Rattus norvegicus: one gene and its partners. The protein of the gene in region 1 binds, or shares a complex with, the protein of each later gene. Links are inferred from orthologs where the notes say so. Each region holds a gene or a part of one and is shown on either strand. Other genes may lie near its edges.

Region 1 (8,326 bases):
CAATCACAAAACTAATATAAAAAAATCTGAGATTAAAAAAGTCTATCCCCTGATATATTTTATTTAACTCCATTTAGACCAACACAAATCTGTTTTACGACTTGTTACAAATAAAGACACATGAAGGCATTGTGTCTTATTGTCTCCACAGCTACTCTCTCACCTCAAGGCTGAGTAGTTGTGACACACACAGCCTGGCTGAAGGCCTAAAACACTTTAATTTTTGCCCTTTATAATAAAAGGCTCCCCAGTACCAACTTTTCATCTTCTAATTTTTATTACAAAATATGAAAGTATGCTAGGAGAGTTTTTTTAAACAATGAAATTTACTTTTTAAAACTTAAAGTTCATCTAACTATCAACTGTTATAGACTTAATGTATAGTCTTTGTAGGCATCTAAAAAGCTGTTAAAATAATTCTGAGAACTTAGATTTTTAAATATGGAAAATATATTATGCCATCCTTAATTTTAGTTGAGGAGATACATGCATACATGCATATATATATATATTATATTATAATGGAATACAACTTACGCAGTCCGGGACTTTCAACCCTCGTACGGTTACATACAGTGTTGATGGGTAACGATTCCTTGGACACTTGGACCACCACTCAAAAACCTCAACAACATTTGGCTGGGATCGAGGCTTAGTAGGTGGGTAGTAGAGCTGCAGACGAAGTTTTGAGTTGATGTTTGCATTTCCATTGGCTCCCAGGAGCTTAAAGTAAGAATTTGTGTAAATAATTAACTTTTCTGAAAACACACACATCCAAGAAAGCAACAGCAGAGTCACAAGCTTGCTTTTAAAAGATTAAAACAAGGTTGAAATTCATTAGGCTTATGAAGAAAAAGGCAGATCAGCCTAGGGCTCAGGTACTTTGGGCTCATTTTGACAAATGACTTTGAGAACATTTCCTAAAAGCAGTCTTCAGCACACAGCGCCTGCAGACCGCCGTGCAAGCCTTTACGTCACAGTAGCGGAAGTATATGTTACAGAACAGCAGATGACACATGCTTGCCTGAACTAATGATGGTAAAGAAAGAGTAAAGCACACAGCACTTCACACAAACATGTTTTCCGGGTTGGGGATTTAGCTCAGTGGTAGAGTGCTTGCCTAGCAAGCGCAAGGCCCTGGGTTCGGTCCCCAGCTCCCCCCCCCAAAAAAAACAAAACAAAACATGTTTTCCACGTGGCCGTTATTTTCCTCAGCAGGACTGAAGATTAAACCCACTGCGGTCTCCCATATGCTCCACAAGTGTATGAAAGATATGTCCCTATCCTCCTTTTCCTTTCCATTTGAAAGGAACCTGGCCAGGCTGGTCTGGAACTCGGGAACTCAAGGAGGTCTTGAACTTGTGAATACCCTGCTTTAGTCTCCCCAGTAGCTGGAACTCCAGGACTATATTAATAGTTTTAATGGTTAAAATTATGTTTTAGATTTTTTTAAGATGCAAAATCATTTTAAGATAAGGTAATTCAAATTGTCCACTTCATTTTTCAATATTTTAGTCTACCTTCTTTGAATGGTCTATTGAAAAAGCCAATTAAATAAAAACTAAGATAAGCAGATAGATGGAGATTCTTAGGAAAAAGGTTAAAATCTCAGCAGTTCAGATAAAGCTTTCTTTTCCTACTTAATGAATGAAGAGGAAATACTGCCGAGGAGAGAGAGAGAGGGTAGGGGGGAGGGAGGGAAGGAGGGAGGGAGGGAAGGAGGGAGGGAGGGGGAGAGGGAGCGTGCAGGAGCACTGTGTACACTGTGAATTTGGAGTAGGAAGTGGCACCGCCAGAAGTAGCAGCACGGCCATTAAGTGTAGGACACGCAGTAGCTGCTGTTGACTGACACAACTTGGAAAGTCAGGGTAAAAAAATCCAAGGAAGACTCAGTGTAGAGCTGTCCCAGAGGCCTGTGACGATGGGATGCGCTACAGTGAGTGAGCACATGGGGCTGTCAAGTCCTCAAGCGTGCTTGGTGCAACCATACAAGTGAGTTTTCCGTTATGCCTAATTGCACTTACTCTGCAGCAAAGCTGCCAGTGTTGCTATGGTGATAAGCTCGAGAGACTGTGCAGGTGATGTGAAACAGGAGAGGGGTTAGAGATTTGCCGGGTCTGCCAATTACGAGGAACAGGAAACAGAAGTGGTTTAAGAACAGTGACCAGAGAAGAAACTGTGAGTTGGAATTACACTAGGAGGTAGGGACCAATCCTGAAGGAATGGGGTACCCAAAGCACATGAGAGTGCTGCCAAGAAAGCAGTGGCAGCAGGGACATCAAAGGAACAGCGTGTTAAATGCATGTATGTTTGACATGGGAACAAGTAACAAATGTTCTCATGTGGCATACAGAGAAACGTTCGTGATTCAGCTGGAGAAGTTTTCGTGGTAGAGGCAAAATCCAGATCGTGGCCTGATCAAGACGTATCAGCAAGGAAGCAGACACAGCCAAGTGTAGCGTGTTTCCCTACAACTTTGGGAAGGATGAGGAGACCACAGACTTAGAGGCTCAGGGAGTGATACTGTGCTCGAGGGGAAACACAGTTTAGAAGGAGTAAAGCAGCACTCACCTTTAAATATGAACTCTGCACACTCTGCACAGGCCTTTACTATTGCCCAGAGCACACCTCAGACTTTAAGGATTCCCCAGCTCCCGAATCGTACTTTTTAAAGTTGTTTTAATATTATCTAGACAAAGTAGTTTATACTGGGGTATTGCTTAGCCAAGTAAACAACTCATGCTAAGAAAGCCCTAATGAGCATGCCATCATGACTGTAAACTACAACACGGCTAGCTCTACGTAAGCTTCATCACTGCACGGTTAAAACAGACACAAGCATATTCTACAAGAATTCAAATAACCTGAGACCAAAGGCGTAACTGAAAATTAAATATGTTTAATGGATCACTGAAAAGCAGGATAGTCCTGAATCCACCAGCACAAATTCTGAGACACTTACATATCAACTTGTTTCATGCCATTTTATTCAAGTTCTAAGTTTATCTCAATTGCTTTCCATTCATGTCAGGAAGTCCTTCAGTAGACATTCACCCCTTTGTGTACCTCTGTGTGCTGGGACACAGTGACCTTGTGAAAGCCCAAGGGAATTATGTAATACATCTAATACAACATCTGTGTGTAGGTGCATGCATACCTCTGAGTGTGTGTGTGTGTGTGTGTGTGTGTGATTATGCACATAAATAAAATAAAAACCTAAAACTGTTCAAAAATCAATGCAAACAAGATTATTGGTAACTTTGTAAAGCTTATAGTGCGATGAAGGAAAAGACACACAGTATTAAAAATGGAAAACACAGAACCTGCTCCCCTCTCTGGAGATAGAGATAAATTAATTTCTTCTGACGGTGGCTCAATATGGATGAATTAAAACCCACATGATCTTGAAAAGTAAAAAATAAAAAGCTGTGGCATCTGTGGTGTTCTAACTGTAGCTTAGGCCCACACAGCAGGTCTGCTCAAACTGTAACGCAGGATAAACGAGCAGCCCCTAAAACACTGCTTTGTGTAAACACTATTATTATTTGCAGTGCTCTTTAAAACTTAGTACAGCTCGGACCCTCACATCTTCCAACATTTATGTTCTGAAGTCAAGGGATTCAGGGCTGCTGACTGAACAATGGCCCACACACTGAAAGGGCTGAATGAATCTCTCACAAATTGAACACAAGATGGTAGGATGCATGTGCCTTTGAGTATAGCATCCCCAGAGTCAAAAAGTATAAATAGTACACACTGGGTAATCAATAAGAATTTCAGACTTTTAATAGCTTTACTAAGAGTTGCGCTAACCAACTCTTAGAGACTGAAACGACTTGGTGGAAATCTGCAATCAAATATAGAAGATATTATTTTAAATATGTTCAAAAGAACAGGTGAAAATGTACCTTAAGAAATGCCCAGGCAATTTTCCGAAAGCCACATTCTTGGTTTTGAAACTCAGAGTTATTCTTGATTTCATCCATGCTTAAAAAGTCAAGAATCTGTAGATATATTTTTAAAAAATTATTTTACAGAATGACAGACTGCCTAAATTGTAATAGTCTCTAATGATATCTTATCATCTGGTACCCACAGAGCATGCTACAACATTAAATTCTTGGTATTAAATTCTCACATTCCCACATAACAAAACTATTAATATCAACAACCTAAACTTGTATGCTTAAATATTTACTAAAATTATTTTTAAATTCATACCTCAAAGAACAGAATGACTTTTGGGCACTCATCAAACTCTCGAAGCAAATAGGGAAAATTTTCATTAAAAATAACTTGTTCCTCCCACTCTGGAAGCCTTGACTTTAGCTTTTTAAAGTCGTACGGCTGCGTCATAATAGGGAGAATATAGTCCACGTTGTCTTTCTCATAGTAAGATGAGACGGGACGCTCACTGTTCAAAGACAAAGTTTCCATATTTTAGAGAGAACACTGAGGGGGAATTACATAGGCCACAAAGGCAGAAATAATAACTATAATGGCACAAAGGCAAAAACAATGTTCTTTAAATCTAAAAATGACACACTTTATAAAACATTAGAAGTAATGGTGTTTTATTATAATCTGGCATTCTGTTTTGGTTCTTCGGGTCAGATAATAATAATTTATTATAAAAGTAGAAAGTGAAAAGTATAATTGACCTTTAATGTACAGAGCTAAAGTATAGCAACTCCCTCAGAAGTTTAAATGAGCTTATGAAAAGATGCATAATAAGTCCAAATAATAATGTAGAAAGAACTTTTCCACTGTCATATTTTCTTTGTACTAACACAACTAAGCAGATGTGTTCTCTTTTTTGTAATAATCTTAGTGTTCTTCTCCCAACATCCTTGTAAGCAAATACTTTTTTGAATAGTATAATCTAGTATAATGTATAGAGAAATGTTAATCCAGCAAATTAACCGCTCTAGTCACGTGCAGTGACCTGCAGGTCTGTGTGAGCTGGCTGGAATGCAGACATGCCCTTAGTACACACCTTCAATCCCAAACAATGACGTCCAACTGAGGCACAGACAAATGATGAGTCAGAGAGATTTTACAGAATAGGATATGCCCAACTCTCAACAAGAACAGCACAGCAAAGAGAGGCTATTTGAGAGGAGCACAGGGAGAAGGGTCAGTCAGTGGGAGTCAGTTCTGGTCCATACAGTTGAGTTCAGTCAGTCAGTGAGTGCAGGCAGTAGAGTTGAGCTCCTTGGTGCTGAGTTCATGCAGTTCTGTACAGGTCAGCAGAGGCAGTTTTTACTGGGACAGTTTTAGAGACAGGTTGCAGAGAGAACAAGCTAGACACATGTGAAGACAGAATGGGCCAGAGAATGAGAAGGAACCAGAGGATTAGAACAGATTGCTAGAATCAGTTTGAGGCCAAGCAGAGCAACAGTCAGAATCTGACAGAAGCCCAGTTGAATAAGTCATTTTGGAGAGGAGTTTAAGCCAGAACAGCTAAATTGAAACAGCCATCCAGAGTTTAGAAAGTACTAGAAAGGGTGAGCTTATTCAGTAGTAAGTCTCTGAGATGACAATTACATCTGACAAATAAAAGTTACCTTTACAATAACAACTTATTTTATTGCCTTTTAAACCTATGTACGTGTGTTCTCTTATTATATACATCATATCCTATGTATATGGATTCAAATATGGCTTCTCTCTAGATACAACCTTAGGGGAAAACATGTTCAAGATACATTTGCAGCACCCCAGGCCCATGTAACACACTAATTTCAATGAAAAGGAGGAGGCTAACGATGAGTACACTTAAAAAATTTACCATGCAAATTTAAGAGCTAATTAGTTAGCTTGACAGACTATACTTAAGATGGTGCATTCCCTCCATTTCTTGTACAGAGCTTACTGATCTAGCTGAGGACACCTACAACCATAGGACTATTTTCTGACATCAGTCCACAGTTCTCTGCCTACTTTCAGTCATGAAGGGCAGCAAAAAAAAAAAAAAAAAATTCTACTGCACAGTTTCAACCTAAAGATGGCATAATTTTAAAAATCACCTGACCTGTCATCTTTCTTGACGTACTGGCCAGTGTGTTCATCAACCACATGGATCTTTACCATTGGGTGAGAAATCATAAAGTCAGATTTAAGCCGATCGGTTCGGTGAATGTAGACTCCCATGACGAGGTCGTCATCGAGCAAACACTTGGGATGAACTGGGCTGTCTCGGCCTGTTATCTCATGAACACCATCTCCATTAGTCTCTTCATTATCCTCTGAAACTAAAGCAGGAAGAAAAGTCAGGAGTAACCGTTCTCACACTTAGGGGTTACAGATAGTTAATCTTAGAAGCGACTGTCTTACTCTGTTGGTAGAAGAACTTCAAGGGAAAAGAAAGGCCATTACTAGCTTTCATTTACAAGGTAACCACGTGCAATTCTAAAATTGGTGGTTGAAAATAAAAATTTCTATGCCACAAGGCACTGCAGATCATTTCCTTGTACAGCTAAATAAAAAACTGTAAGTTCACTATATATACCCACATATAATTGGGAATAATTCATTATTAACAAATGAACACCTTAGTCTTATGAATTAAAATACACAGTGTATCTTGACTTATTTTAAATTATATCCTTCAGTTTTAAGGACTAAAGTTTCTAGAGTCCCGTTATCCTACAAAGGCACATAATTTTATTTAATTTGTAGAACAAACCTGCTTTAGGCTTCTTCTTCATCTTCTTGGGTTTGGGCTTTGTGTTCTCTGGTACACTGGCATCTGCATTCTGTTCTGTTGAGCATCCTCCCTCCCTGTGGTGAGACCCCTCAGGGGCGCCTTCTTTCTTTTGCTCACCTTCAGCTGCACTGTCACAGACATCTGAGGGACTGAGCATAGCGCAAGAATGAATCACTGCAAAGGACATCTGCAACTGTCATTCATGATTAGTAGGTGGGTGGTGGACAGAAGCGATGATATTACATACGCGCCTGTAAAAGTGCCACTATCTGATATTTTTATAGAATAAAATGACTGTTAACTAGGAGTCATAGATAATATTTTATATCTGATCAAGAGTTATGGATCTTAGGAGCCAACAAAAACAAAACTATGAACTGCACGGAACAGCCTCATTCTGAGCAGGCTCACGCACGGAGACATCTGCAGCTGGCCGCCGCTGTGAACTATCACACTCTCGGAAAATAAAATAGTAGTTTATGGTTATGGACTTACATCGTATAGAATTCGAAAGCATCCCAGCCTGCTGCTAACTAAATGTTAATGAATAGATTTCTAAATGATTTAAAAGGTAAAAGACTTTTCAAAGTTTCTTCTAAGAAGTTTCAGCCATACATAGATAAAAGTGCATTGCTTTTGTTGTTTAGGGGCAGGTTCAGAATTCTTTTTTTTTTTTTTTTTTTGGTTCTTTTTTTCGGAGCTGGGGACCGAACCCAGGGCCTTGCGCTTCCTAGGTAAGCGCTCTACCACTGAGCTAAATCCCCAGCCCTTCAGAATTCTTGATAAAAATAAAATTTGTACCACATGCAAACAGTAAGAGGTAGCAGCCTGGAACAGAAGCTATCCTATTAAAGTTTGTTCATGATTTATGAAGTAAAAAAATATGCCTTTAAATAATAAAAAATTAACTTCTATCATATTCATTTATCTTTCAAAAAGAAACATTGGGAAATAAAAAGATTAGATAAATACTTCATGGTAGTTATTGGGAGTTATCCCTGAATACTAGCTATTTTATCAGTCATAAAACACTCCTGTTAAGGAATAGCTACATCTGCATGCCTCCATCATGTATGGCAGGTCTGACTTAAACTGGAGAATGCTCATTTCCTTGCCAATGCAGTAATGGTTTACAGTACACTATGAAGCACAGCCTGTGAGATGGCCATGGCTGACCTTTGCTTCTTACTGTTCAAGAATCTCCTTCTCTCTGAGTACCAGCTGGGCCTTGTCACGCACTTCCAATGGGTTACAGGAAAAATATATGCTAGATTTTAAAAAGATTCACTTCTGTCTTACTATTGCTCTCTCAGAACTTTGATCTGGGGAAGAAAGTTGTCACCTGGGTGAGGAGTGCATGTGGCTAAGAACTTGTCTCTCTGACTGGATGCCACCAGGACCTGAGGCCTGCCTTCAGCCTCATGGTGAGGCACAGCAGCCTCTCTTCTGAGGCCCTCTATGGAGAGCTGGAATCATCTGTTACATCTGTCCCTGGCTAGCATCCTGACTGAAACTTGTGCAGTCTGTGAGAGCCAAAGGTGCCTTCTGAATAGCAGCAAGTGTGAAACACATGCGTATTAAGTTATTATATTCTGGAGTAACATACTATAGATAATT
Region 2 (8,326 bases), on another chromosome or scaffold:
TAAAGCTGTTGGCTCCAGGGCCAAAAAGTTCCGGATTGCTACTGAGGTTTTAGCAAAGTCGATCCTAGAACGAGATGAAGACTTTGTGTCACTGTGCAGCTGAAACACAACAGTATCTTCCCTTGCTGGGTCCCCTTCTCTATTCTACCGCCACCACGTCTGTCCCTTGCCAGTCTCTAGTTAACGTCTGAACTTCAACAAAGAAAGTATCTACCTGATTTACAAAGTCTATCTAACACGAAGATGAGTATTAAGACACATGAGGAAACAGTTTAACCTTGATTGGCAAAAATCATTAGCTTCCTCCTCTTCCCGGTAAACTATTGGACTACAGTGCTGCCTAGTTTTTATCAACTGGTCTTTACCTAGAGTCATCTGGGAAGCTGAGGGAACCTCCACTAAGAAAATGACTCCATAGGACTGGGCTGTAAGCAAGTCTATCGGGGCATTTTCTTGATGTGCTCAGGGCCGGGGTGGTGCACACCTTTAATCCAAGTCCTCGGAAAGCAGAGGCGGGTGGGTCTGTCAGTTTGGGGCCAGCCTAGTGTACAGAGGGAGTCCAGGAAGCCCAGGCTACTCAGAGAAATCCTGTCTCAAAAACAAAATAAAACAAACAAACAAAAAAAAACAACCAAGGAACAAATCAAGACTGTGGGAGGGCCCGGCTCACTCTGGGCGACACCATCGCTGGGGCAGGCCCGTCGCTGGGCAGGTGTACTGGGTTGTATAAAAAGAAGGCTGAGCAAGCCATGGAGAAGAAACCAGTACCAGGTCTCTGTTCACAACTCCAGGTTCTGGCCTTGGTGAGTTCTAGCTGTGTGTTCCCCTGACAGGGGACCATACAATATGTGGTAAAACAAACCTGTTTCTCCCAAAACTGTTTTTGCATAGTGTTTTATCACAAAAACAGGCCAGTCATGACAATAGGCAGGGTTTGTTTGGGTTTTTTTGAGGGGGGTGTGATTTTATTTAGTTTGTATGGGCAGGTGGGTACACGCCCATGCACTCACACACACAGGAGCTATGTGAAGGTAGGAGTTGGTTGTCTCCTTCCACAGCGTGGCTCTTGGGTAGCAAACTTAGGACAGCAGGTTTAGCAGCAGGCATCTTTACCCACCGAGCCATCTCTCCAGCCCTGCTGATATTTTTAAAAATGGGTTGACCTGTGTTCTCCAAAATAAGTGGTGAAGGTCTAACCTTAGTCCTTAAGAAAGTGACTTCATTTGGAAACAAGATCTCTATGAATACAGTGAAATGAAGACAAGGCCATACTAATCCAAAGACTGGTTTAAAAAAGGGTCATTCAACCTTGAAAAGCCATAGTGACATATATTGCTTACTATTTCTTCCTGAAGGAAGGTTAGAAGAGCCCGCATTCACAACAGCCTTACCTGTCAAATGCTGAAACTGTACTTAGAGCCAAAAGCAAGTAAAGAAGGCTCTGGAAGGGATATGCCAAGGGCTTGTACTGCTGCAGAAGGTTGGAGACATTAGAGAACTGGTCTCCCGCGAGAACACAGATCACAACAATATTCCACACAGCACAGCCAGCCAAGAAGCCGTGAGAGAAGAGGCCGATCATCCTGCACAGAAGATTTTAGTTATGTATTAGCCACTAAAATAAAAAGCTAAGGTATTTTTAAAACCTCCTCAAATAAAATAAAGTTGAAAAGCACAAATGGAATGTCTACAAGAATAAATCTACATTCCATTTTAAATTGTTTACGAAGTTGGAACAGCCAAACATTTTTCTTTTAAACGATGCTATCCAATTAACATTTGCTTAATGAACACCAACAAAAGGCAGCCACCTGAAAGCTCGGTGCACGGAAAGTGCCACATCGCGGGTAGTCCAAGATGGCTTCATGTCCATTGACACATCTACGTTTTCTGTGGTCTTTATCAACTCCGAACGGTCCGCCGCCTGAAATCTCCCTGGGAGTGCGGAGCAGACAGAACACAATCACTGAAGGCTAACAAGCAAGCGCCTGAACTGCAGGTCCAGGAGGATCTGGCGCCTTGGCCTCCACGAGCATGCACATGTAAGTGATTGGAATAAAATAAAATCTTAGAAAACAGACCAGGAGCCTGCAGAGTGGAGTAAAGGTGCTGCCTCAGATCAAGTCTGCTGACCTAAGCTTGGCCCTAGACCCACAGAGGCAGCAGGACGGAACTGGCCCCACAAAGTTGTCCTGACCTCACACGAATGTCACTCGTCTACCTCACACCTACAAGCACATGTGCTCAAAACCTAAATAAATAAATAAATAAATAAATAAATAAATAAATAAATAGAAGGGGTTGAATTTGCTATTTTTTTTATTCTAAAAATTACACTGGACTGTAACTTTCCTTTTCTTTCACCTTTGACTACTTAGATATGTAATTTCTTCATCTTTATTTTTAAGATTTAGTTATTTATTTTATGTATGTGAGTATACAGTCTCTTTCTTCAGAAGAGGCATCAGATTCCATCAGATGGTTGTGAACCACCATTTGGTTGCTGGGAATTGAACTCAGGACCTCCAGAAGCAGTTGGTACTCTTAACTGCTGAGCCATCTCTCTAGCCCCAATTTATTCATCTTTTTTTAAATATATATATCATATATATATCATATATATATATGCTATTTTTTATTTACATTTCAAATGTAACCCCTTTCCTGGTTTCCCATCCATAAATCCCCTATCCCATTCCTCTTCCCCCTTCTACTATGAGGGTGTTCCCCCACCCATCCACCCACCCCTTCCCTCCTCCCCGACCTGACATTCCCCTACACAATGGGGGTGGGGGGTGTCCAGTCTTGGCAGGACCAAGGGCTTCTCCTCCCATTGGTGCCTGACAAGGCTATCCTCTGTCCATGTGTACTCTTTGGGTAGCGGTTTAGTCCCTAGGAGCTCTGGTTGGTTGGTATTATTATTCTTATGGGGTTGTAAGCCCCTTCAGCTCCTTCAATCCTTTCTCTAACTCCTCCAATGGGGACCGCATTCTCAGTTCAATGGTTGGCAGAGCCTCTCAGGAGACAACTCTATCAGGTTTCTGTCAGCATGCATTTCTTGGCATCAACAATTTCGTCTGGGTTTAGTAGCTATATGTATATGGGATGGATCCCCAGGTTGGGCAGGCTCTGAATGGCCTTTCTTCAGTCTCCATATCTCCTCCTATGAATATTTTTGTTCCACCTTCTAAAAAGGACTGAAGCATCCACATTTTGGTCATCCTTCTTGAGCATCATGTGGTTTGTGGATTGTATCTTGGGTAATCTGAGTTTTGGGGCTAATAGCCACTTATCAGTGAGTACATACCATGTGTGCTTTTTTGTGACTGGGTTACCTCACTCAGGATGATATTTTTCTATTTCCATCCATTTGCCTATGAGTTTTATGAAGTCATTGTTTTTGATAGCTGATTAGTACTCCATAATGTAGAAGTACAACATTTTCTGTATCCATTCCTCTGTTGAAGGGCATCTGGGTTCTTTCTAGCTTCTGGCTATTATAAATAAGGCTGCTATGAACATAGTGGAACATGTGTCCTTATTGTATGTTGGAGCATCTTTTGAGTATATGCCCAGGAATGTTAGATAGCTGGGACCTCAGGTAGTGTAATGTCCAATTTTCTGAGGAACCTCCAGACTGATTTCCAGAATGGTTTTACCAGTCTGCAATCCCACCAACAATGGAGGAGTGTTCCTCTTTCTCCACATCCTCACCAGCATTTGCTGTCCCCTGAGTTTTTTATCTTAGCCATTCTAACTGGTGTGAGGTGGAATCTCAGGGTTGTTTTGATTTGCATTTCCCTGATGACTAAGGATGTTGAACATTTCTTTAGTTGTTTTTCATCTTCTAAAATAATAATGCAATGCCGATAACTTTCCTCTTAACCCAAGGCCAACATTAAAATAATAACAATTTTAAGATCAACTATATTTAAATCAACAATAAACTTTCAACTCAGAATTAAATTTAAAAGCAAGACAGTCTATAGAAGTAATTTAAATACTTTAGGAATATTAAGATGAAAAGGTTGGGGACTAGAGAAATGGCTGAGAAGTTCAGAGTACTTGCTGTTCCTGCAGAGGACCTGGGTTCTGTTCCCAGCACCCACATGGTGGCTTACAGCCACTGTAGTTCTAATTCTAAAGATTAGGTGCCTTCTTCTGACCTTTGTAGGCACAAGACACACATTTAGAACACAGAGGCAAAACACTCAAACACATAAAATAAAAATAAATAAGTTTTTAAAATAAATATTTTTTTAAAAATTATTTTAAATGTTTACACTATGAAGGCAAGCTATTATTTGAAAAATTCTTTACAATTCTTGAGAAGAGATGCCCGAGTGTGCAGCACAGCCTCCTGTGCTGGCAGGGAAGAGAACTTCAAAAGGCTCTCTTGAGACTCAGGAGTCGGCCTGGGGCAACGCACATATGCACTGTGGTCACTTTCTTCTTTAGGTGTTGCAATCCAGAAATGGGTCAGGAAGCAGGCTGACGCCATCTCAATTACCTTCACAAAACCCATTGCTCAGATATTTTTAAAGGATGAAAGAATAATTAATTTTCTCAAAAAAAAAAAAAACTTTCCTGGAGAGCCAAAAAAAAGCATTTGTGGTTTTCTTTATTGGTCAGTCAAACAGAAAAGTTTTTATACCAAAGGAAACAAGAATAAAATAACTGGTCACATTGCTCTAAAAAAAGAGGGAGTCGGGGGGATGGCCTTGTCTTACAAGCACAGAGACCTGACTTGGGTCCTGACAGCCTACCTAAAATTGCTGTACATTTTTAGCCCAGTGAGTGGGTCCTGTCTCAAAAGAAGCAGATGGTAATTACTTCAGGGTAACACCTGAGTTGGGGGTAGGGAAACTGAAATCAGAATATACTGTATAGGAAAAAATAATCTATTTTCAATTAAAAACAAAATCTAGTTGGAAAAAAAACAATAGTATAATGACTAGATTTGTCTGTCAATTTTCATTCATATTTCTTTATTATTTCCTTCATTCAGGTCATCAGAACTATAATTACCAAGTTAAAGATATCCCTTGACAATATTCAGAGCAATTGTATTCCAAAACAAGGAGTTACTTACGGCTTTTTTCCACAAATATTTTGCCAACAGGCTGGCTGACTCCGGTGGGTGCGGTGAACCTAGAGTGGTGTTCTAGAGTGCTCTGCTCATCCGTAATTACGTCTTCATCTTCTACCCCTAGCTCGCTGGCATACTGTGGTTCCGCTGGCTGCATTTTCCTGAAATCAGGGGAAATCTTTGAAACAATAAATAATTCTTGAATTTTTAAAGACCCACAAGAAATTACCCATGAATATAATAGACAGAATCCTGAACTTGGAGTGAAAGAAATATGCTGTTAATAAATCTAATTAATAAATCTAATTATAAATCTGTTATTAACTGCACACGTTCCTGTGAACCTCGGACTTCTCATTTGGAAAATGGACACTCACTGGACGAGATTTCTCCTGACTTCAAATTATAAAATTCTAAACGTGACTGGTTATTGTTTGCAGTAATTTTTATGTACAAACATTAATGTTATGTAACTTCCAGTATATTTTAAGTATGCTGTTGTATTTTATATGATTATAATGATATGTTATTATTTATAATAAATAATGGAATAACTATATAAGATAGTTAATTTCCTATATTAAAACACAATGGTTAGGCTTATTTCCTACTTCAAATCCATTAACATGGAGAAATGAATCACAGTATTTATCCTTAATGACGAGTTTTGTAACTTATATGAAAATATTCTCTCTGATTGTGCTTTCTTCGAGATGACTCCTTGGGCTAGTTCCATACATTATTCTTCTCTTTTCTTTAGTGTTCTATTCTTTTCAAATTCCTCATAGCATCGGTTCATTTCTGTACTACTGCTTATCCTGACACAACACATGGTGTGATGAGACCCAGCGAGGACTTGAACTAAACACAGCACCAGCTCTGAGGAAGAGCTCCATGGATGAATAAACTATTACTTCGCCTTCCTTCGAGGTTTTGGAATAACCACTTCCTCACGAGGCTCCACGTCCATGCCGTTTTCATTCCGTAGTAAAGACGGACTGGATGGCTTTTCAGTGAAGGAAGTCTCCAACTCTGAAAGTAAGATGTGTCACATGATTACAAGGTAGAAATGAAACAGTACACACCTTTTTCGAGACAAGAGAACTGTCAGACTTTTGGTTGGACCAATTCTTTCGCCAAGGGCAGTGTTCTTTGAGACGGAGTCTGACTATGTCGTCTCAGCTTCCCTGGAATTTGTTATGTAGACCAGGTTAACCTTAAACTCAGAGAACTGCCCGCTAAAGGCATGTGCCAACATGCCCACTGGGATTAGATTTCTTAATTTTTTTCTGTACTGGTTGACATTAAAACTTGAAATTCTACATTTAAAATATAGAAGTGTAAATTTTTTTATCTGAAAAATTTGGCTGGTGTGGTGGTGCATGTTTTTAATCCTAGTATTCAGAAAGTGGAGACAGGCAGATCTCTGTCAATTTGAGACTAGCCTGGACTACATAGTTAAAGTCTAGGCTGGCAAGGACCACATAGTAACACCCTGCCTCAAACAAATGAAACCAAACACTAGCCTCCAAGTTCGGAGTACCTCCAGGTTTAGCTACTTGTTGGCAGGAATCACGGGACTCAGATGTCATTACACTCGTGGTTAGTTTATTACAGCAAAAGAACAAAAGCAAAATCAGCAAAAGGAAAAGTGGAGCGAACCCAGGTGAAACAGCGCAGTGACAACAGTCCTTCGCCAGAGCAAACCGTGCCACGAATCCCAGCAGCAGGTTATGCCAACACAGGGCAGGCAGATCCGACAAGGAAGCTCATCAGAGACTCAACGTCAGTCACACAGACCTACACTTACCAAAATCCCAGAGTCCCAGAAGGGAAGCAGGTGTTCGTCATCACGTGCGAAGGCACAGTGAGCTGCCCTTACAGGTTAGTAAAGGTTTGCGTGAGTGTGGGGAACCGTTCGTCATCCAAATTGCCCAAAGCCACAGACAACAGGCTTTCTGAGAGTGCAGGGATCTCAGTCATATGACCTCTGCTATCCTGCACCCAGTGGAGTCATTAAGTTCAAACAAGTGGACAGGCCACCTACCCATTAGCTAGTCTTCCCACCTGAAAACACTAGATCCCGAGACAGCCTCAACCCTTCAAACGTTTGACTAAAATGCAGCCCAGGCCTGAAAGACAATATAGGCAGAACAGTACACAACGGTCATTCTGGGTAAAGCAAAACAAGAACCAGAGCTTTAAACTCCTAGAAGTCAGAGCAACAGACAACAGACATAGCTCAGATGGTACAGTGCTCGCCTAGTGCACAAGGTTCAGTCCCCAGCACTGGAGAAAAAAGAAAAACAGGCGTGGTCACCATAATCCTAGCAGCTGGAAAGTGGTGAGGAAAGAGGAGGCTCACAAGTTCAATCCTCAGCTACACATCACGGCAAGTGTGGGTTACACAAGACCCTGCTTCAGAAGAAAAGAGAAAAATACTATACCACCAGACCGGCAAAGCTGGTGCACTTAGAATGGCTAGAGCAGGCTCCCCGGAACGCAGATCTCCTTTGGTCTGATTCTTCTCCGGCTTGTTTTGCAGTTTGGGCTTTTTGTTGGTTTGGTTTTTCTTTTCTTTTGTGTTTTGTCTTTTTGAGACACTTTGTCCACACTGACCTGGAACTCATAGACCTTCTGCCTCAGCCTCCAAAGTGGTGAGCCTAAAGGCACGTGCCGCCGCTCAGCTGGGTCAAGAATGTTCTGAAAATGGCTAGGCCAGTTTTATGCAGCTATTCTTCACAGTCTAGGAATTGGTATCATCTCAATTTTCAAATTCTTATCCTGACCAAATGATCAAAACTTTATTGTCATCAACCTACATTCATGCTGGTGATTCCTACGTCGAACGGAGGGTAGGCTCTCCCGTGGGAGTCACCTGGGTCTCCTTCCAACTGCTTCTGCTCTTCCAGCGCCCAGGTACTGTGACACCCACTTCAATGCTTCCCAAAACTGGCCTGTGTTCTCCTCAGTCCTAAGTCCTGCCACTCTGCTCCTGTAACTTTAATCAGTCAGTACCTGCTGCTCTCTAAGAGCACAGTCATTAATTAGTCAGGAGAAACACTGTTAAATTCTCCTCAAGGGCTAATCTGTGATAACAGTGACCAGCTAACCTCACAGTTACTCCTTCCTCTCCTTTGTTTAATATTAATAAAGTCAGTCCACTGTCCCTTTCTAATTACCATAAAACTAATATATGTTCTTAAATGAAGAAAATTAAAATCATATTTTGTTCTT
Region 3 (8,326 bases), on another chromosome or scaffold:
TAGTTCTAAAGTGATGGCTTCAACACTTGCCAGTATGAATTATAAACAGTTCAGCAAAATTGAAGACAACATGAAGAGCTTTGGGCGCCTTCCCAAATATGGCTTCCAAGAATTAACCTGGAGAGTCCTCGTCAGAAGCATCCTGTCTGTCCTCAGGATGTTTTGTCACTCTTCTGGTGTCATGATCCAGGCTTCCTGACAGTATTTAGAAAGTTTGCAGGCTCGGTCCTCCCCGATCCTGCTGCTTAGCCAGCCACTGTGTGTGAGCTGCCTGGAAGGCAGGCTGCACCTCCTGAGGCAAGGGTTTGCTCTGGGAAGCTGGGCTTCGGCTGTGAACCTAAGACTGAGTGTAGAGGTCTGCACTGTGTTCCGGTGTTAAGCGTGTGTGTATGTGTGTGTGAGCGTGTGTGAGTGTGAGAGAGCGTGTGTGTGAGAGTGTGTGTGCATGCGTGTGTGTGTGAGTGTGTGTGCCTGTGTGTGAGTGTGGGAGAGTGTGTGTGTGTGTGCCTGTGTGTGAGTGTGGGAGAGTGTGTGTGTGTGTGTGTGTGTGTGTGTGCACACGCGTGCACAGTTGGTCATACAATGGAACTGTGTATTTGTAATGTGCCGGGCAGTTTCCCCCTTTGGTGCTGGGTTGTGAACCCTGTTCTCCCATATGCTGGCCCTTCTGTCAAAGTGACCAATGCTCTGGCTTTGGTCAGAGGTTGTGCCAGCGTCTCTGCAGTCTAACCCAGGAGGTTTTCATCACTGTAAGAACTGTAGTATCCCTTAGGTGTCACTCCGTGGGCTTTTCAGTTCTGGTCCCTGATAACCACTTTGGTCTCTGCATTGGAATATCCATATTGAGTGCAGTCTGCAGGATATATGGCCTTTGGTGTCTGCTTTCTGTTCTTTCTTTTTTAAGATTTATTTATTAATGTCTGTGAGCACACTGTAGCCATCTTCAGACACACCAGAAGAGGACATCAGATCCCATTACAGGTGGTTGTGAGCCACCATGTGGTTGCTGGGAATTGAACTCAGGACCTCTGGAAGAGCAGTCAGTGCTCTTAACTGCTGCACCATCTCTTTTAAAACATTTCTTTTAAAAACATTTCTTTTTATTATTTTTAAACTATATTCTGGGAGTGGGAGGTGGCATACCTTTAATCCCAGAACTTGGGAGGCAGAGAGAGGCAGATCTCTGAGTTCCAGGCCAGCCTGGTCTACAGAGTGAGTTTTAGGACTGCTGGGGTTACACACAGAAGCCCTGTCCTGAACCTGCCCCACTCCCCCGCACCCCCGGAGATGATTATGTGCATGTCTCTCTGTGTGTGCAGTCCCAGAAGAAGGCGTCAGGCCACTTAGAGCTGTACTTACAGGTGGTTATGAGCCCCTCAGCATGGTTCCAGGAACAGTGCTCTTAACCACTGAGCCATCTCTGCAGCCCCTGGTGTCTGATTTCTTCCACTTACTGTTTTCAAGACTCACCCTGCAGTAGCACGTGTGGGTATTTGGTTTTCATGTGTGAGTCATGTTCCTTGTGAAGATGGACACTTGACACTGGTCCAGTTCTCAGCTGATGGACGTCCGGGTTGTTTCCGTGTCTGTGATGAATAGGCTTCTTAGAATGCACCTTTGAACACGTGTGGTGTGTGTGTGTGTGTGTGTGTGTGTGTGTGTGTGTGCTCGGAAATACCTTCACTCTTGCAAAGGTGTGTGCACTGTGTGCACAGTGTGGGTAGCAGTGGGTGTCCTCTGCTTTGCATTTGCTGCCACTGAGTGTTCATTTTAGGCTCTGGGTGCTGGAACAGGGTCACCTGTGCTGTATGTCGGATGTGGCTGGTAGCCTCATGACCAAGATACTTTCCCTCTCAGGTCTCCATCAAGATCCAGTCTATAATGTATCGGTCTCTGAATCACACACTGACCCAGTTAGAAGGCCGTGGTATCCTGCGGCCATCTCTGGTCAGCACTGGGCAAGACAGACTCTGCAGCAACGTTGTTCTCCAGGTAGGCATCCAGTGTGTCTGCAGTCTTGCTCCAACTGCCTGACTCCAGCCTGCTGGCTGCAGGGGAACTTCACACCTTCCCCTGCTGGACTGCTGGTCGCTACCGTGCTGGTTCTCTTCTTGGTTGACCTCCAGCTGCTCCTGCTGCTCTGCTCTCCCGCCAGAGAGCAGGCCTTCACCTGTCTACATGATCCAATACCTTGCAGGAATACATCACATTTTTCTTGTCAGTGGTTAGGACGATGGCTCAGTGGAGTAAGAGTGTTTGTTCCACAAGGATGCAGACCTGAGGTCAAATCCCTAGCACCTATGTAAAAAGCCAAGCATGGCTACCACCATAACCCCAGCACTGGGGGACAGCAGATCCCCAAGAGTCAGCCAGCCTCACTGAAATAGAGCTTGTGGTTCAATGAAGGACTGTGTCTCCAGGCAGTAAGTCTGAGAGTTACAGAGGAAGACACCCAGTGTCACTCTCTGGCCTCTGGCCTCTGGCCTCTGCATGTGCAGGCATGGGTACACACTCTCTCACACTCGCTCACACTCTGCATGTGCAGGCATGGGTACACACTCTCTCACACTCAGTCACAGGCACCATACATACAATTTATCGCTACCACCATTTGATGGGACTCATTTCTTCTGCAGAAATAGGCTGTTCACATTGTGCTTGAGTCAGCTGATCTGAAATGTCAAAACCCTGGGTACAGAGAGGCTGAGGTGACTGTCCACTAGGATGCTAAGGGGATACGAGTGACATGATTGGACAGCAGACTTGGGGGCTGTGGTCTTTCTGTGGCTGCTTTGTTGGAGTTGGTAACATGGCTGCTGAGCCCCATTCTTCCCCAGGTAAAGTACAGTCTGCTATACACAGCCAGCGGCCAGATCCAGGAAGCCGGCCTCTCCCTCGTGCTGGGGACGCTCATCAGCACCGTGAGTCTCCTGCAGCAGAAGTTTGAGATTCACTTTATTCAGGTGAGTCTGAGAGGAAGCCTGGCTTCTGGGGGCAGCACTGACAGTGGAGAAGCATGACCCAGCTCCCAGCCTGAGCTGCAGTAATGTGTGGGGTTTGCCTGGAAGCCGGGTGCTGTCCCATGCCTTGCAGGCTCACAGAGCGCTGTCCTCCCACTCTCTGGGATCTATTTATACTTCAGAACAGAGGGAGCTGCTCTTCCAGATGTTACAGTGAGAAGCACTGTGTTGCCCCCGCTCTTACCTAAATAATGTTGCCCAGGTCATCACCTTGTCTTTCAGCATGGCACCAAGCCTGTTCCTCTCAGTGGCAACCCTGGTTACAGAGTGGGACTCCCGCTGGCCGCTGGCTTTCAGCCTCAGAAGGGGTATCCTTTTTTTCCGGGTCTGTGGAGAAGGTCACCTTCCCTGTCTGCATGGTGGGCCGTGCTTCCATTTGTTGCCAGAGACGCTGTGGGCGGCCTATGGGAAGGAGGTACCTGATTGGCCAGAGCTTCCACTGAAAGCGCGTTCCACTGAAATGTGGCACGGCTGGTTTAAATGGAGTCTGGTGCTTTGGGGAAGATGGCAGTGCATTTAAAAGGACAGCTGGAGGCAGAGGGTTCTTCTAATCTTTGATTCATTTATTCAGTTGTTTTTAAGAAAGTCTCTCACTGCGTACTGGAGCTCACTATGTAGGCCAGGGTGGCCTCAAACTCAGGAGGATGCCTTGCCTCCTGAGTGCTGAGGTCAAAGGTCACTCTTTGGCATCGCTTCCAATCTCAGGCTGGCTGTGGCGGTGACTTGAGGAGTCTCCTGTCTCAGCCCCCTCACCTTACACTTCATTTCGAAACAAGGTTCCAGCAAGTCGGTCACCCTGACTGGTCTCACGCTCACTTGTAGCTCAGGTGGTCCTCAAATGTGCCCCCCTCAGCCTTTTGAGGGGCTTGATTGTGGGCCTGGCCACCGCAGCTGGCTGGAACTAGTTTGGAAGATGAGCCAATCAAGAAAGAGATTTGCTGCCGTGTTACCCTTCCTGGTAATAGGCCAGGGCCTGGAGGAGCCTGCGTCTCACTCAGGTCTCACAGCATGCGTGAAGCCATTTTCTTCCTAGACAGTCTGACTGCTCTGGAAGTGTTGACTGTCCCTTAACAGTCTGTGAATGTCTGGGATTATTCAGACAACGAACAGACAAGGCCAGCTTACTATTCTTCGTAGCACAGGCAAGCAGGACTGCCTGGCCAGCCACGGGCAGCGGGCTCCTGTGCTGTTTGGCTACAATGTGCAGTCTGGCTGTCAGCTCAGGTGAGTGGCTGTGGCAGAGATCACACATCCTTCAGCTTTAGCCACATCGATAGCACAGGCGTCACAGTGGAGGCTGACCCTAACCCTGTGTAGCTCAGGGCAGACTCGAACTCCTGGCCCTCCTGCCTGAGCCTTCTGAGATCTGCAATGGCATTTATGGATCTCTGGGTCTGTGTATTTGTTGATGAATTCCTACTCTGTACAAACCCTTCTCTTTGCTCCTCTCATCTCCCTTCCCCTGTACCCTTCCCACATCTTTGCAGTGACTCTGTTGTTAGTTTGACTGCTAGATGTCAGATCAGTGTTTCTTCCTAAGAGTTCCACCGAACACTTTGCCACAGGATGCCAGGAGACATGAGAAAGCCACTGTGTTTCCTGGCTTCTGCCCATGGCACAATGTTCAGAGGGGGCAGGGGAGTGGGAGACAAGTTGGGAAGCTGCTTTGGGCTATCTCCATGACCAGGATGTGCAAAGGCAGGGCCATGTCAGCAATTGGAGGATCACATTTTTGGAGAGGGAGGAAGAAGTGTAGAGGCTGACATGTCTTGGAGGTTGTCAGCTCCTCCCTCTGTTGGCCTCTCTTTCCTTCTCAAAGGTTGACAGGCACCATCCCATGCGGGCTTCTGGCACAGAAGATGCAGGATCTGCTGAGAGGCCAGGCCTTCCCTGACTACGTGGCTGCGTTTGGGAACTCACGAGCCCAGGATGTGCAGGACTGGGTGCCTGTGCACTTTGTCACCCACTCCTCCAACACGAAGGTAAAGACTGAGAGGCTGCTGGCCCCCCTCGAGTGTGCCTTCCTCTGCCTGGTGGGCCACAGGAGGCTAGGGAGGCACCAGGGCGGGAGGGAGGCAGGCAGGCAGGTTTCAGGGAGGGGGAGGGAGGAAGAAGGCTACAACCAAGCTGGGTGGGTTTCCAGCTCGCTCCTCTTCACGTGCCTTGATGAGTAGTTTTCAAGCGTCTGTTTGCTTCCCTGTGATGTGGAAACTGAATGGACCAGGACAGCACAGGACCCCAAGACCAAGTTCTCAGCACAGAGGAGATGTATTTGCCCCAGAGGGACAGAGGGCAAGGAATAAGAGACAAAAACAGGAGATAGAGGATGAGGGGGAAGGAGAAAGTAAGAAGGGATGGGGGTTAGGGGTGTGATAATGCCCTGCAGGGACAAAGAACTGCCTCTGGATAGAAAGGAGACAGACAAGGCCCGTAGGCAAATAGAAATTTATAAGGGATGAAATGTTTTATTTTAACTGGGTGTGTTAATCAGGGCAGCCAAAGGGGGCTTTACTTTGATAGCTGGACCTTGGTAGTCAGCCTCAGGAGGAGGAGGAAGTGGCCAAATGTGGGCACAGGCCTTGGGGCCAGCTTTGGGGATGTGATCTAATGATTTAACAAGGCAAGGCCTGCCAGAGCCATGTTGGCCAGGCCCGGGCCTACCAGAGCCCTCCAGAAACAATGTCACTGACCACACAGGGTTATTTGTTTGGTGTTGGCGGACACAGTGGTCACTCCATAAACTGGGAGCACAAGTGACCACCATAGTCGAATATGGTTGGGAAATCAATGTTACATCTAAATCTGGAACTTTTTAGTGCTAACATGTTACTCATCATATGGTAGCTGTGGTCAAAACTGGGGCTCCCTGAAATATCTCTAGCCCTCCTGTGTGAGGTGGACATGAACCGTGAATTTCCTGTCCATCTTCAACTTTCTCAGTCCCCAGGACACCAGGCCCTCCAGAGTTTCCTGCAGTCCTCCAGGATGGTCAGCTCAGAGGGCAGTGATGCAGTAAGCCTTCCTCGGGCATTTGGGGACAGGAGGGACAGGAGATGTGGCCATGCCATGCCCTCTGTGCTGTAATGGCAGTCCACCCACACGGGAGTTCTTTCCATTCCAAAGTTCCCCAAAGAGTTTAATGGAAGCTGACATCCTACAAATAGCTTCCTGGTCACACGTGACTCTTCTGCCCACCTCCTTCTCTTGTCTTAACAGCAGAGTGTGGGCTGTCCCCAGCGGAGGTGTGCACTCCATTCTCCCCTAATTACCCAGCTATTTCTTGTCACAGCCGCTTCAGGCCTCTCAGTATCTGCTTTGTGTATTTACAAGGAGCAGCTCAGTGGGGAGAGTAACCTCACCAGACCTCCATTCCAAGAATCACTTAACCCCTGCTCAGCCTCAGTGAGCCTGGGGCATGGCTCCTAGCTTCCTGACACTGGGTAAAGACACCAGGCATTAGTGCCAGAGGAAGCAGGCCCACTGTACCTGCCACAGCTCCTCACCTAGCGACAGGATATTGGCAAGCCAGTTCAGTGACAAGGTTCCTAAAAGGCACTTGTAAGCTAAAGAATCCTGTGAATGCTTTTGGCAGTCTCCAGTTTAGCAGGTCTGCTAGCTTTCTAAGCCAGGACATAATTTAGAAAAATATACATGGAGATTGAAACATCCAGGCAAGTACTGTAGCTTAGGGGCCCTCTGCCCACTGCAGCTCCTGCAGTCCCAGTTCTCAGCAAGAGGAGGGTCCGGAGGCCCCGAGTCCATCTACCTCAGTGAGGATGCTGCACTGTTACTGTTGTTTGTTGATTGAGACAGGGTCTCTGTAGTCCTGGCTGTCCTGGAACTCGCTGTGTGGACCAGGCTGGCGTTGAACTCAAGTGTCTGCTGCCTCTGCCTCCGAGTGCTGGGAATAAAGGTGAGCACCATGACTGCTCTGCACTGTCACCTTTGGGAACATAGATACCATAGAGCAGGCTGGCTTCAATCCCAGAGATCTGCCTGCTTCTGCCTCCCCAGTACTGGAGGAAAGGCATGTGAAACTGAGCTGGGTTTTGTTTTTTGTTTTGTTTTGTTTTTGGTTTTTTTTGTTTTGTTTTGTTTTTGTTTTTTTTAAAGATTTAAAAAAAAAGTGTATGGGGGCTGGAGAGAAGGCTCAGTGGTTAGAGCACTGACTGCTCTTCTGGAGGTCCTGAGTTCAAATCCCAGCAACCACATGGTGGCTCCCAACCATTTGTAATGAGATCTGATGTCCTCTTCTGGTGTGTCTGGAGACAGCAACAGTGTACTCACATACATAAAATCTTTTATTAAAAAAAAGTGTATGAGTACACGTATATATATGCATGGGCATAGTTCCTGCAGAGGCTAGAGGAGTGTGTCGTGTCTCCGAGAACTGGAGTTACAGGTGGTTTTGAGCTGTCAGGTGGGTGTGGGGACTCAACCTAAGTAACCAGTGCTCAACTGCAGAGCCATCTCTCCACCCCAGGATGTATCTTCGTTGCTAGATGGTGAAATTAGATGACAGAATGCTGGTGTTTCCTGTTTTATTCTAACATGCGATACAAGCAAGTTCACCTTCCCACTGTTAAATTCTCTCTTCCCTGCTGACCCCTAGCCAGTGTCCAGAAACATCTCTGAGGTGGATGAGGACTGGTCGAGGCCCTAAAGGTCCCACCACTGGGTAGTGGAACTTCACATTTGCACAGTGACTCTGGCTTTTGGGACTAGGAGGGGCTGGTGAAACGGCATTTGTAGCACTAGATGCTTTAGTAACTCCAGCTCTGTGAAGTCGCTTGTACCTGAACTTGTGTGGCCCGTTTACCCTAGTGTTCTGAACATTCTGTAATTGGGAGACATTTTCTAATTAAAACATTCAGCTGCAGAGTTGGTCTGACTTGTGGTTGTGGGATATTCTGGTTTAATCTAGTTTTCTTTTGCAGGGCTCTTGCCAGCTTCCTGTGGCTTTGGGTATAGAAGTAAAATGGACTAAGTATGGGTCCCTGCTGAACCCCCAGGCCAGGATAGTAAATGTCACTGCCCAGCTCATCTCAATTCCAGAGGTAGGCCTGCTGGCAACGGTCTCCATGGGCTGGGGTATGGCCCAATCTTTTTTCCCTCCAAGACAGGGTTTCTCTGTGTATCCCTGATGTCCCGGAACTCTTTTTGTAGACCAGGCTGGCTTTGAACTCAGAGATCCATCAGCCTCTGCTGAGATTAAAGGTGTGAGCCACCAGACAGAACAGCTCTAGGCCCGTTCTTAACCCAGGACAACCTTCAGCCTCACACAGAAAGAAATGTGAAGGAAGACA
Region 4 (7,375 bases), on another chromosome or scaffold:
CTTTCCCCTCATCCTATAGCCACCCTTCTAATCCTGAGCCCTTACAAAGCTAGGAAAACGAGCAAAACAATGGAGGCCGCCAGGACAGGTTACGGTTGTTCTGTAAGGTTAGCAAGAGTGTAGTCCAGTGAAGTTCAGAGAACACTGTTGGGGGAAGCAGCCATTGAGAGTACAGCGTACTGTAGTACTAACCAGAGAACTGCCTGCCTGAGTCCTTTACTGAGCACATACCCAACAGAGACCAGCACTCAGAGGTGAGTACAGTGTGACAAGAGCTTATGTGTGACTGACCTGAGACTTACTGCAACAGTTCTCAGAGGAACAGCCCATGTGCCCACAATCACCAACAGTTACAGTTAATGGGGATGGCCAGGTATGTAGCACTGAGAATGACAAGGCTGAACAGGAACTATCTGAGTAACTCCCAGGTCACCTTTGGTGGCAGAGTGAGAGGCACAGCTTTTTTTATCCTTCACTGAGCACCACCTGTGTGGTGCCATTCTAAGGTTTTTAGACACAAGAAAGATCATGAGAGAAAAAGTTGGTCTAAGGCCATTCAACGGTAACTACAGAGCCAGCTTCCAGGCCTCACCTGTCCTTTGGAGTAGAAGATAGTAGTGGGTCTGGCTGGGTGTGAACAGGAAGCATTTTTAAACGTCAGTATGTTAAGGAAAAAGTACCTGAAAGGCCATGATTTCTTCAGGGTGTCAGAGTTGGTAAGGCCACACAAATCAGCAAGGAAGGAGGGGCTCAGGGTGGGCTCAGGGTTGGCACAGGGCTTCCATAGGACTTCCTGTGTCTACTCAATGTTCTAGCTCTCCTTCCCAACTGCCAGGCCACCAGCAGAGATACAGAAAGTAGTGGGGGAACACAAGCCCTGGGTATGGACTGGGTTCCTAGGGCTCTTTTTTTCTGGAGCTGGGGACCGAACCCAGGGTCTTGCACTTGCTAGGCAAGCGCTCTACCACTGAGCTAAATCCCTAACCCCTAGCCATCACTCTCTTAAATGTCTGTTCCAGCTTTCAACTAGGCACACCAGCTACTACTCCCCTTCCCTGATTTTCCTACATGTCAACCTTGTCCTTTCCAAGGGCCACAAATTGTACTCAGCGTGTATGGACCGGACGTGTTTGGGAATGACGTGGTCCGAGGCTATGGAGCAGTGCATGTGCCCTTCTCTCCTGGACGGTAGGTGCCCATGCTTGACTTGGCCCCTGGCCTGCAATTTGCCCCTTACCGAGCAGGCAAACCTTGAAAATAGTAGTTTTAGACTCAGACTCTCTGGCCACTGCTCCTTCCTCTGACTTGGGCAAGTTACATTCAGGGACCTGGGTGGCCTGGCACCTTGGAAAAGACCCATGTAAGTAGGATATATGTACCGCTGGAGAGGGACAGTAGTGAGTGTAGAAGGAAGAAAGTCCAGTGTGGAGCCACACACTTTGATCTGTTCCTCAGCACATCTCTGTATGAAAACACTTGTTTCAGGCACAAAAGGACCATCCCCATGTTTGTGCCAGAGTCTACATCTACACTACAGAAGTTCACAAGGTAGGTCTTCTGCTTGCCCTTGATCTAATGGATAACTGATTGGCCAGCACCTTCTACTAAAGCCTTCATGCATTGGCACCACAGGGAGGCCATTTTGGGTAGGAACAAGAGCAGCAGCCATGCGGAATCTGGGAAGCATGTTCACACATAGGGCCCTTCGTCCTCTTTACAGGCCCTGAGGAAGACTTAAGAGTTAGGAGCAGCCAGTGGCCAGGATATGACAGTGAGAAGGTCCCATACAACAGGACAGAAACCTTGGAGAGACGCCTTAGAGGAAAGGCCTTCTACCCTTTGCCACATCCAAGTAGGAATTTGCTAGACCAGCTCTGCTGTATGCTATCTCTGCTCCCCTCCTGGTTGAAAAGGATGAGAAGAAAATGAAGGGCCACTGGGTTCTCAGGCAGCAGCCAATGAGAAGCTTCTTGCAAGCTAGTATCAGGCAAAGGGACCTGGGCAGAGTCCTGATAGGAAGAGAAAGCGAGCTCAACCAAGGAAGTCATCTGAAGTCTATACAAGGAAGGGACAACATTCACCATTGGCTCCAGCCCTAAGATTCAGATCCCCATTGCCACAAAATACTCTCTAGGAGGAGCTCTCAAGAAAGAAAGGGCTTCTTAGCTGTTCCTGGGCTAGGATCACCTGGGAGAGATACCACCAACCTTCGGGACTGAAGTAGTAGGTCAGGTCATGATAGTGGGCTTAGATAGAAGCCATAGAAGGGAACTAGACCCTAGTTTTCATAGGGCTGAAGAAAAAAAGGTTCTGGGCTTCAAGAAAGACTTATGGCTGGCTGCCTTGACAGTACCTTGCCTTAACCTATCATGATAACCCAGGATAGTTTCTACCTTGTAGTATTCTTAGTAATACCTATATAGACCCTCTTCACAAATCCGGTCACCTTCTCGGTGTCTCTGGTCCTCCCTCAGTATTCCTAAAGTTGTTACTCAGACCACTGCAGTATCTCCAATCCAGTCCTTCCAGAGTCTTAGGGTGTTGTTGCTGCTGGAAGCACTGTGGCTTACCCTCTGCATTTGGGAGTCTCTTGAACCAGGATGGCAGTGGCCTCCCTTGTTTGCTTCCCTTTTATCAGCCCTTGGATTTTTGAGCCCACGAGGTTCTGCTCTGCTTCAGCCCTTGCCTGGAACATTGTTCTGTCTCTTCTCAAATGGAAAAAGATTTTTTTCACTTAAATGTAGAGAGAACTTTGTGGAACAACTCCACCAGCATTCCGGTTTGCCTGAGGAGGTAGGACTTTGTCTACTTTCTGGGTAGTTTGGAGCAGGCTTTCTGGTAACCATGACTGTAGAAGAGAACTGGAAATATGGCCAGGGTGCCTACATGCCAGGATTGCTCTGAGACTCCTCATAGTACTGAGTGCAGTTAGAACTTTTATGTTGGGAAACAGAAGAGAGACACCCACTCATCTAGTTTCTAGAATGCTTAGCTGTAGGAATCCTGGCTTCTCTACTTAGGTTGTCTGAACTCTTCTCCTACGGCCCCCTCAGGAACTCCTACCCAGCAGTTTAATAGGACTGTGATGTCTAGCCTAGAAGTCCAGAGATCTAGCCATAACCTCAGCATAGCTGTAGGTTGTGGGTGTGTAGTCATGGTTACAAGAATGCCTGCTGCAAACTGTCCAGGTAGAAGACGAAGTCCTACCTCTTCAGGCAAACAGGAATGCTGGAGTTGTTCCACAAAGCCTGAGTTAGTCCTAGCTGCTGTGCTTGGGCTAATTCTGTATGCTCCAAGCCTATACAAAATGCAGGGTCTGTATCCATATATCATAGAGCTGTGGGTGGGGCCCAGGATCTGAAGTTTGGGTGCAATAGGATTGTGAATTACAAGACATTTGTAGGAAGTGCTTCTGAGTTTGCCAGCCAGGGCCTGGGGGCTGAATGGTACCCTTGGCTAGGTGAGACTTTTAAAAGTCAGATGACCTGTCGCTATCCACAGGCTTCCAGGGCCAGATCCTCCCTAGAATGGGTAATGTTTCATACAGCAGGTGATAGGGTGCCTTCACTTCACAGTCTCATGAGGTAGGTGCTATTATTACCCTATACTAGATAAACAGGTTCAGTGGTGGGGTGTGGCTTGTCCTGGATCCCACATAAGGAGACAAAGCTTAGGAAGCTGGATCTGGCCCTTCTTGGGGTTAGGCTTTCTCTCCTGGTTGTACTATTGGCCCTGCATCTCTCTCAACATTCACCCTTGGCTTAAAACCACAAAAGACTTGGCCAGGCAGGCTAGACACCCCTTGGAGCACCTGGCACTATTAGAATTGTTGGCAATGGACCCCTAACAGGGGACATCTCCTGGCACCCCGCTTGGCCTATCAAATAGGTAGGAGGTTGCCCTGGCACCTAGAGGAGGGGTTGCAGGAGAAATGCTACAACCTCTTAAGCCTGGAACACTCTTGTTCAGTGTCTGAAGCCAGCAAGTCCCAAGTGCTCCTCACTGGTGTTTTCCTGTTCTCAGCTGGTTCATGGGACGTCGGCCAGAGTACACTGACCCCAAGGTGGTGGCCCAGGGTGAAGGTCGGGAAGGTAAGACTGATGCTTCAGGTAACTTAAGGGTTGAGATGGGTCCCCAATCCCTAGGAGCCCAGAAAACACATGTGTGAAAGTCAAGGAGCTTCCAGACAACTGGGACCTAGTGATATACAAGACACCCAAAGAACTTTCTAGACCACCACCTACCTACACAAGGGCTTCAGCAGGTGGTTTCTGTCTGTCCCAGTCAAACCCAGCTAATGCTCAGCTTCTGTCCCCAGTGACCCGTGTTCGCTCTCAGGGATTTGTTACCCTCCTCTTCAATGTGGTGACCAAGGACATGAAGAAGCTGGGCTATGATACTGGGCCTGTGGACACACAAGGAGTCCTGAGTCCCAGCCTGCCACAGGGAAACCCACAATAAAAATGTCAGCTTTTCTCTCCACCACTGTGGACCAAATACCTTACAGCCCACACACAACCAAGGACATACCAACCTGGCTGAGAAGTGGGGGAGATAAAGATAGTTTTATATAATAAAGTGTCACTTTTTTTTCAGAGATTCTGGGGCCTGCATTTCTTGATTTCTTCATTAGCACCTCTCTAACAGAAACAGGCCTGGCGCCCAACAGGATGTACCCAGTAGAATGTCATGCTGGAGTGGAGGCCTCTCCAGGACTGCTGAGCAGTTTGCACAGAGCTGACCCCCCCTTTCAGTGTCTTCTTCAGCATCAGGAAGTTAGTCACTTGCTCCATGGCTGGCACTGTGACTATTTACCGTATTGTTAGCAGACTCCCAGGGCCCTGAGCGGCACCTGCCTTCCACCATGCATTCCTGTGCCCTACTTCCATCCTGATCTTCGTGTGCTGCCTGAGGATAGGGAAAGAACCATCCCAGGCAGGAGACTACCACCAGTGCGGGTTCCGGGCAAGCGCCGTAGCCCAACACCCTGACATCTGTGGGCCCCTAGTTTTCTCCACGCATGCTGGTAGTGTGACACATGAATTAACATGTTGTCAAACTACTCCACAACTGCTGGTCTCACCAAAGCTTGCTGTGGTGCTGTCTTCTCCGCTGTTCTTGTGAAGCACCTCTTCCACGCCCTCCACCCTTGCAGAAGGTATAGACCTCACAGTTCAGCAACTTCATCACCCAAGGTCTCTCCCTCAGTCCAAAACTCCCTTCTACACCTGATGTCCTTTCTGTACACTAGCCCTCATGGCTGTCAAGTCAAGGCACAGAAATATACCATTTCCCAAGAGGCTCTTGCATGTCTGCCAGTCACGGTGAGAAACCACACAGAGGAGAGCTTTGGAGCCCAGTGACTGGAGCATATCTGGAATGTAGGATTATACTAGACATGTGACCATTAAGACACATGACACCTAGGTTTATCGTTTACTTACTGTCACAGCTGTATCTACCAGACTGTTCACCTTTTCCTAATCAAACCATAAGACTACATTTCCTAGGCCTCTTCTGTCACACTGTTAAACTTATGAAATGCTGGAAGGTTGTTCACCACATAGAAAGCCTGACCCCTTAAACCTCCAGAGTTGCCCTTACTCCTGTCCATGGAGCCCTTGGACATCCACACTGAAGGCAGCAGCATGAGAGAATAGTGTGGTGTCAGATTCCAGCCAGAAGGGGTGCTTCAAGGATACCGGTGCTGGACATTTTGTGGGAGTAAATTCTATTATGTTCTATCCTGAAGAGAAAAAAGGGAGGCAATGGGACTTAGTCCTGTATGAACTCTTGACAAAGAACTGTTATAAGGAAAGAGCTTATGGTGTGAGTGAAAATCAGAAGGTATGGCACACAGCACAGACTGCAGTGGGGAGTAGGCAGGAGTGAAGAACACACACTCAACAGCACAGAGCCACTGGCAGAGCTCAAGGAAGGTCCCATGGCTGAGCCAACAGCTCCAGGGAGGACAGCAGCATATGCCAGAAAAGCAAAGTTTGGGGAAAAAAACAGGCCAGTCTGTAAAATAAGAAAGGAACAGAAACAAAACTAAAGAATATTAACATCGTAAGATTAGGAAAGGACTGGACAGACAACTCAGCAGAGAGCATGGCTGTTCTTCTATTAGACCAGGATTTGACTTAAGTCCTGGCAACCATATGGTAGTTCATAGCTGTCAGTCACACCAGTCTGAGGGCATCCAATGGCATCTTCTGGCCTCCAAGAGTGGCAGACATGCACATAGCTTAGACATATATTCAAACAAAACACTCATACACAATAAAATTTAAAAAAAAAAAAGGCTAGGTGAGAGGACTCTAAAACCCAAATATAAGACTTAAAATTAGGGGTTGGGGATTTAGCTCAGTGGTAGAGCGCTTGCCTAGCAAGCGCAAGGCCCTGGGTTTGGTCCCCAGCTCTGGGGGGGGGGGGGGGGGGAAGACTTAAAATTAAAACAAAACACCCTAGTTTTTTTAATAAAGAACAAATGTAGAGCCAATTATGTGGCATGCCCCTTTAATTCCAGTACTTGGGAGGCGGAAGCAGGCAGATCTCTGGGAGTTCAAGGCCAGCCTGGTCTACAAAGCGAGTTCCAAGACAGCTAGTGCTGTACATGGAGAAAGTCTGTGTCAAACCAAACACAATAAAAGCAGTATGTGTCAATGGAACTTACAAAAGCAAAGGGCTCACAGACTGCTGAGGTTCTGAGGGAAGCAGTCTCCTGTCAGGGTCTCTGTTGCTTAATAAACACCATGACCAAAAGCAAGCTGGAGAGGAAAGGGCTTAGTGGCTTAGAATTCTACCTTGCAGACCATCACTGAAATAGGTCTGGGCCACTGAGGGGCACTGCTTATTGGCTTGTTCCTCGTGGCTTGCTCAGCCTGCTTTGTTACAGCAATCAGAACCATCAGCCCAGGGATGGCACCATCTACAATGAGCTGAGCATTCACCTATTGATTACCAAAATGCCCTACCAGCCTGCCCAATCCTATGAAGACATTTTCTTAATTGAAGCTTCCTCATATTCCAATGTCTCTAGCTTGTGACAGAAAAGCTGACGTAAAATTAACCAGCACAAAACCACAGGATCTATGAGCTTGGTACTCAGAACAAGTCTTGGCTGGTAATACCTACGTGCAGGCAAAAAGCTGGCTCCCAGCTGCTCACTCAAAGGATGGGCCTCCTGCAGAGCTGAGCCTGAGGCCATCCCAGACCCTTTCTGGTACTGGAGGCCTCACAGAGCCCCAGTACTGTGTATTTATGGTAGTGTCGCTCACCCTGCTACACTGCTGGCTACCTCGAGAAGCCTGCCTCCACAAGCCCTCAATTTTTGTTTTGTTCTGTTTTTTTTTTTTTTTTTTTTTTTTTTTTT

The links.
Region 2: Ahi1 (region 1) and Tmem237 share a complex: the UniProt entries of both Homo sapiens proteins name them as parts of the tectonic-like complex. The link is inferred for Rattus norvegicus from reciprocal best matches to the Homo sapiens genes AHI1 and TMEM237.
Region 3: Ahi1 (region 1) and Tctn1 share a complex: the UniProt entries of both Homo sapiens proteins name them as parts of the tectonic-like complex. The link is inferred for Rattus norvegicus from reciprocal best matches to the Homo sapiens genes AHI1 and TCTN1.
Region 4: Ahi1 (region 1) and B9d1 share a complex: the UniProt entries of both Homo sapiens proteins name them as parts of the tectonic-like complex. The link is inferred for Rattus norvegicus from reciprocal best matches to the Homo sapiens genes AHI1 and B9D1.

Annotation. Positions count from the first base shown.
Region 1 is NC_086019.1:17,588,948-17,597,273, reverse strand, and holds part of Ahi1 (jouberin), read right to left. Parts: intron 6,859-8,326; coding exon 6,689-6,858; intron 6,255-6,688; coding exon 6,035-6,254; intron 4,415-6,034; coding exon 4,222-4,414; intron 4,005-4,221; coding exon 3,909-4,004; intron 724-3,908; coding exon 538-723; intron 1-537. UniProt on the Homo sapiens protein: Involved in vesicle trafficking and required for ciliogenesis, formation of primary non-motile cilium, and recruitment of RAB8A to the basal body of primary cilium.
Region 2 is NC_086027.1:68,043,082-68,051,407, forward strand, and holds part of Tmem237 (transmembrane protein 237), read right to left. Parts: intron 6,122-8,326; coding exon of another isoform or gene 6,060-6,121; coding exon 6,004-6,059; intron 5,251-6,003; coding exon 5,093-5,250; intron 1,936-5,092; coding exon 1,812-1,935; intron 1,584-1,811; coding exon 1,392-1,583; intron 589-1,391; coding exon of another isoform or gene 485-588; intron 65-484; coding exon 1-64. UniProt on the Homo sapiens protein: Component of the transition zone in primary cilia. Required for ciliogenesis.
Region 3 is NC_086030.1:39,992,638-40,000,963, forward strand, and holds part of Tctn1 (tectonic-1 precursor), read left to right. Parts: intron 1-1,857; coding exon 1,858-1,992; intron 1,993-2,837; coding exon 2,838-2,963; intron 2,964-3,242; coding exon 3,243-3,328; intron 3,329-4,103; coding exon 4,104-4,244; intron 4,245-4,839; coding exon 4,840-5,002; intron 5,003-5,960; exon of another isoform or gene 5,961-6,933; intron 6,934-7,957; coding exon 7,958-8,077; intron 8,078-8,326. UniProt on the Homo sapiens protein: Component of the tectonic-like complex, a complex localized at the transition zone of primary cilia and acting as a barrier that prevents diffusion of transmembrane proteins between the cilia and plasma membranes.
Region 4 is NC_086028.1:46,689,148-46,696,522, forward strand, and holds the end of B9d1 (B9 domain-containing protein 1), read left to right. Parts: intron 1-1,019; coding exon of another isoform or gene 1,020-1,091; coding exon 1,092-1,188; intron 1,189-1,485; coding exon 1,486-1,548; intron 1,549-3,969; coding exon of another isoform or gene 3,970-4,023; coding exon 4,024-4,091; intron 4,092-4,318; coding exon 4,319-4,461; 3' UTR 4,462-4,596; downstream 4,597-7,375. UniProt on the Homo sapiens protein: Component of the tectonic-like complex, a complex localized at the transition zone of primary cilia and acting as a barrier that prevents diffusion of transmembrane proteins between the cilia and plasma membranes.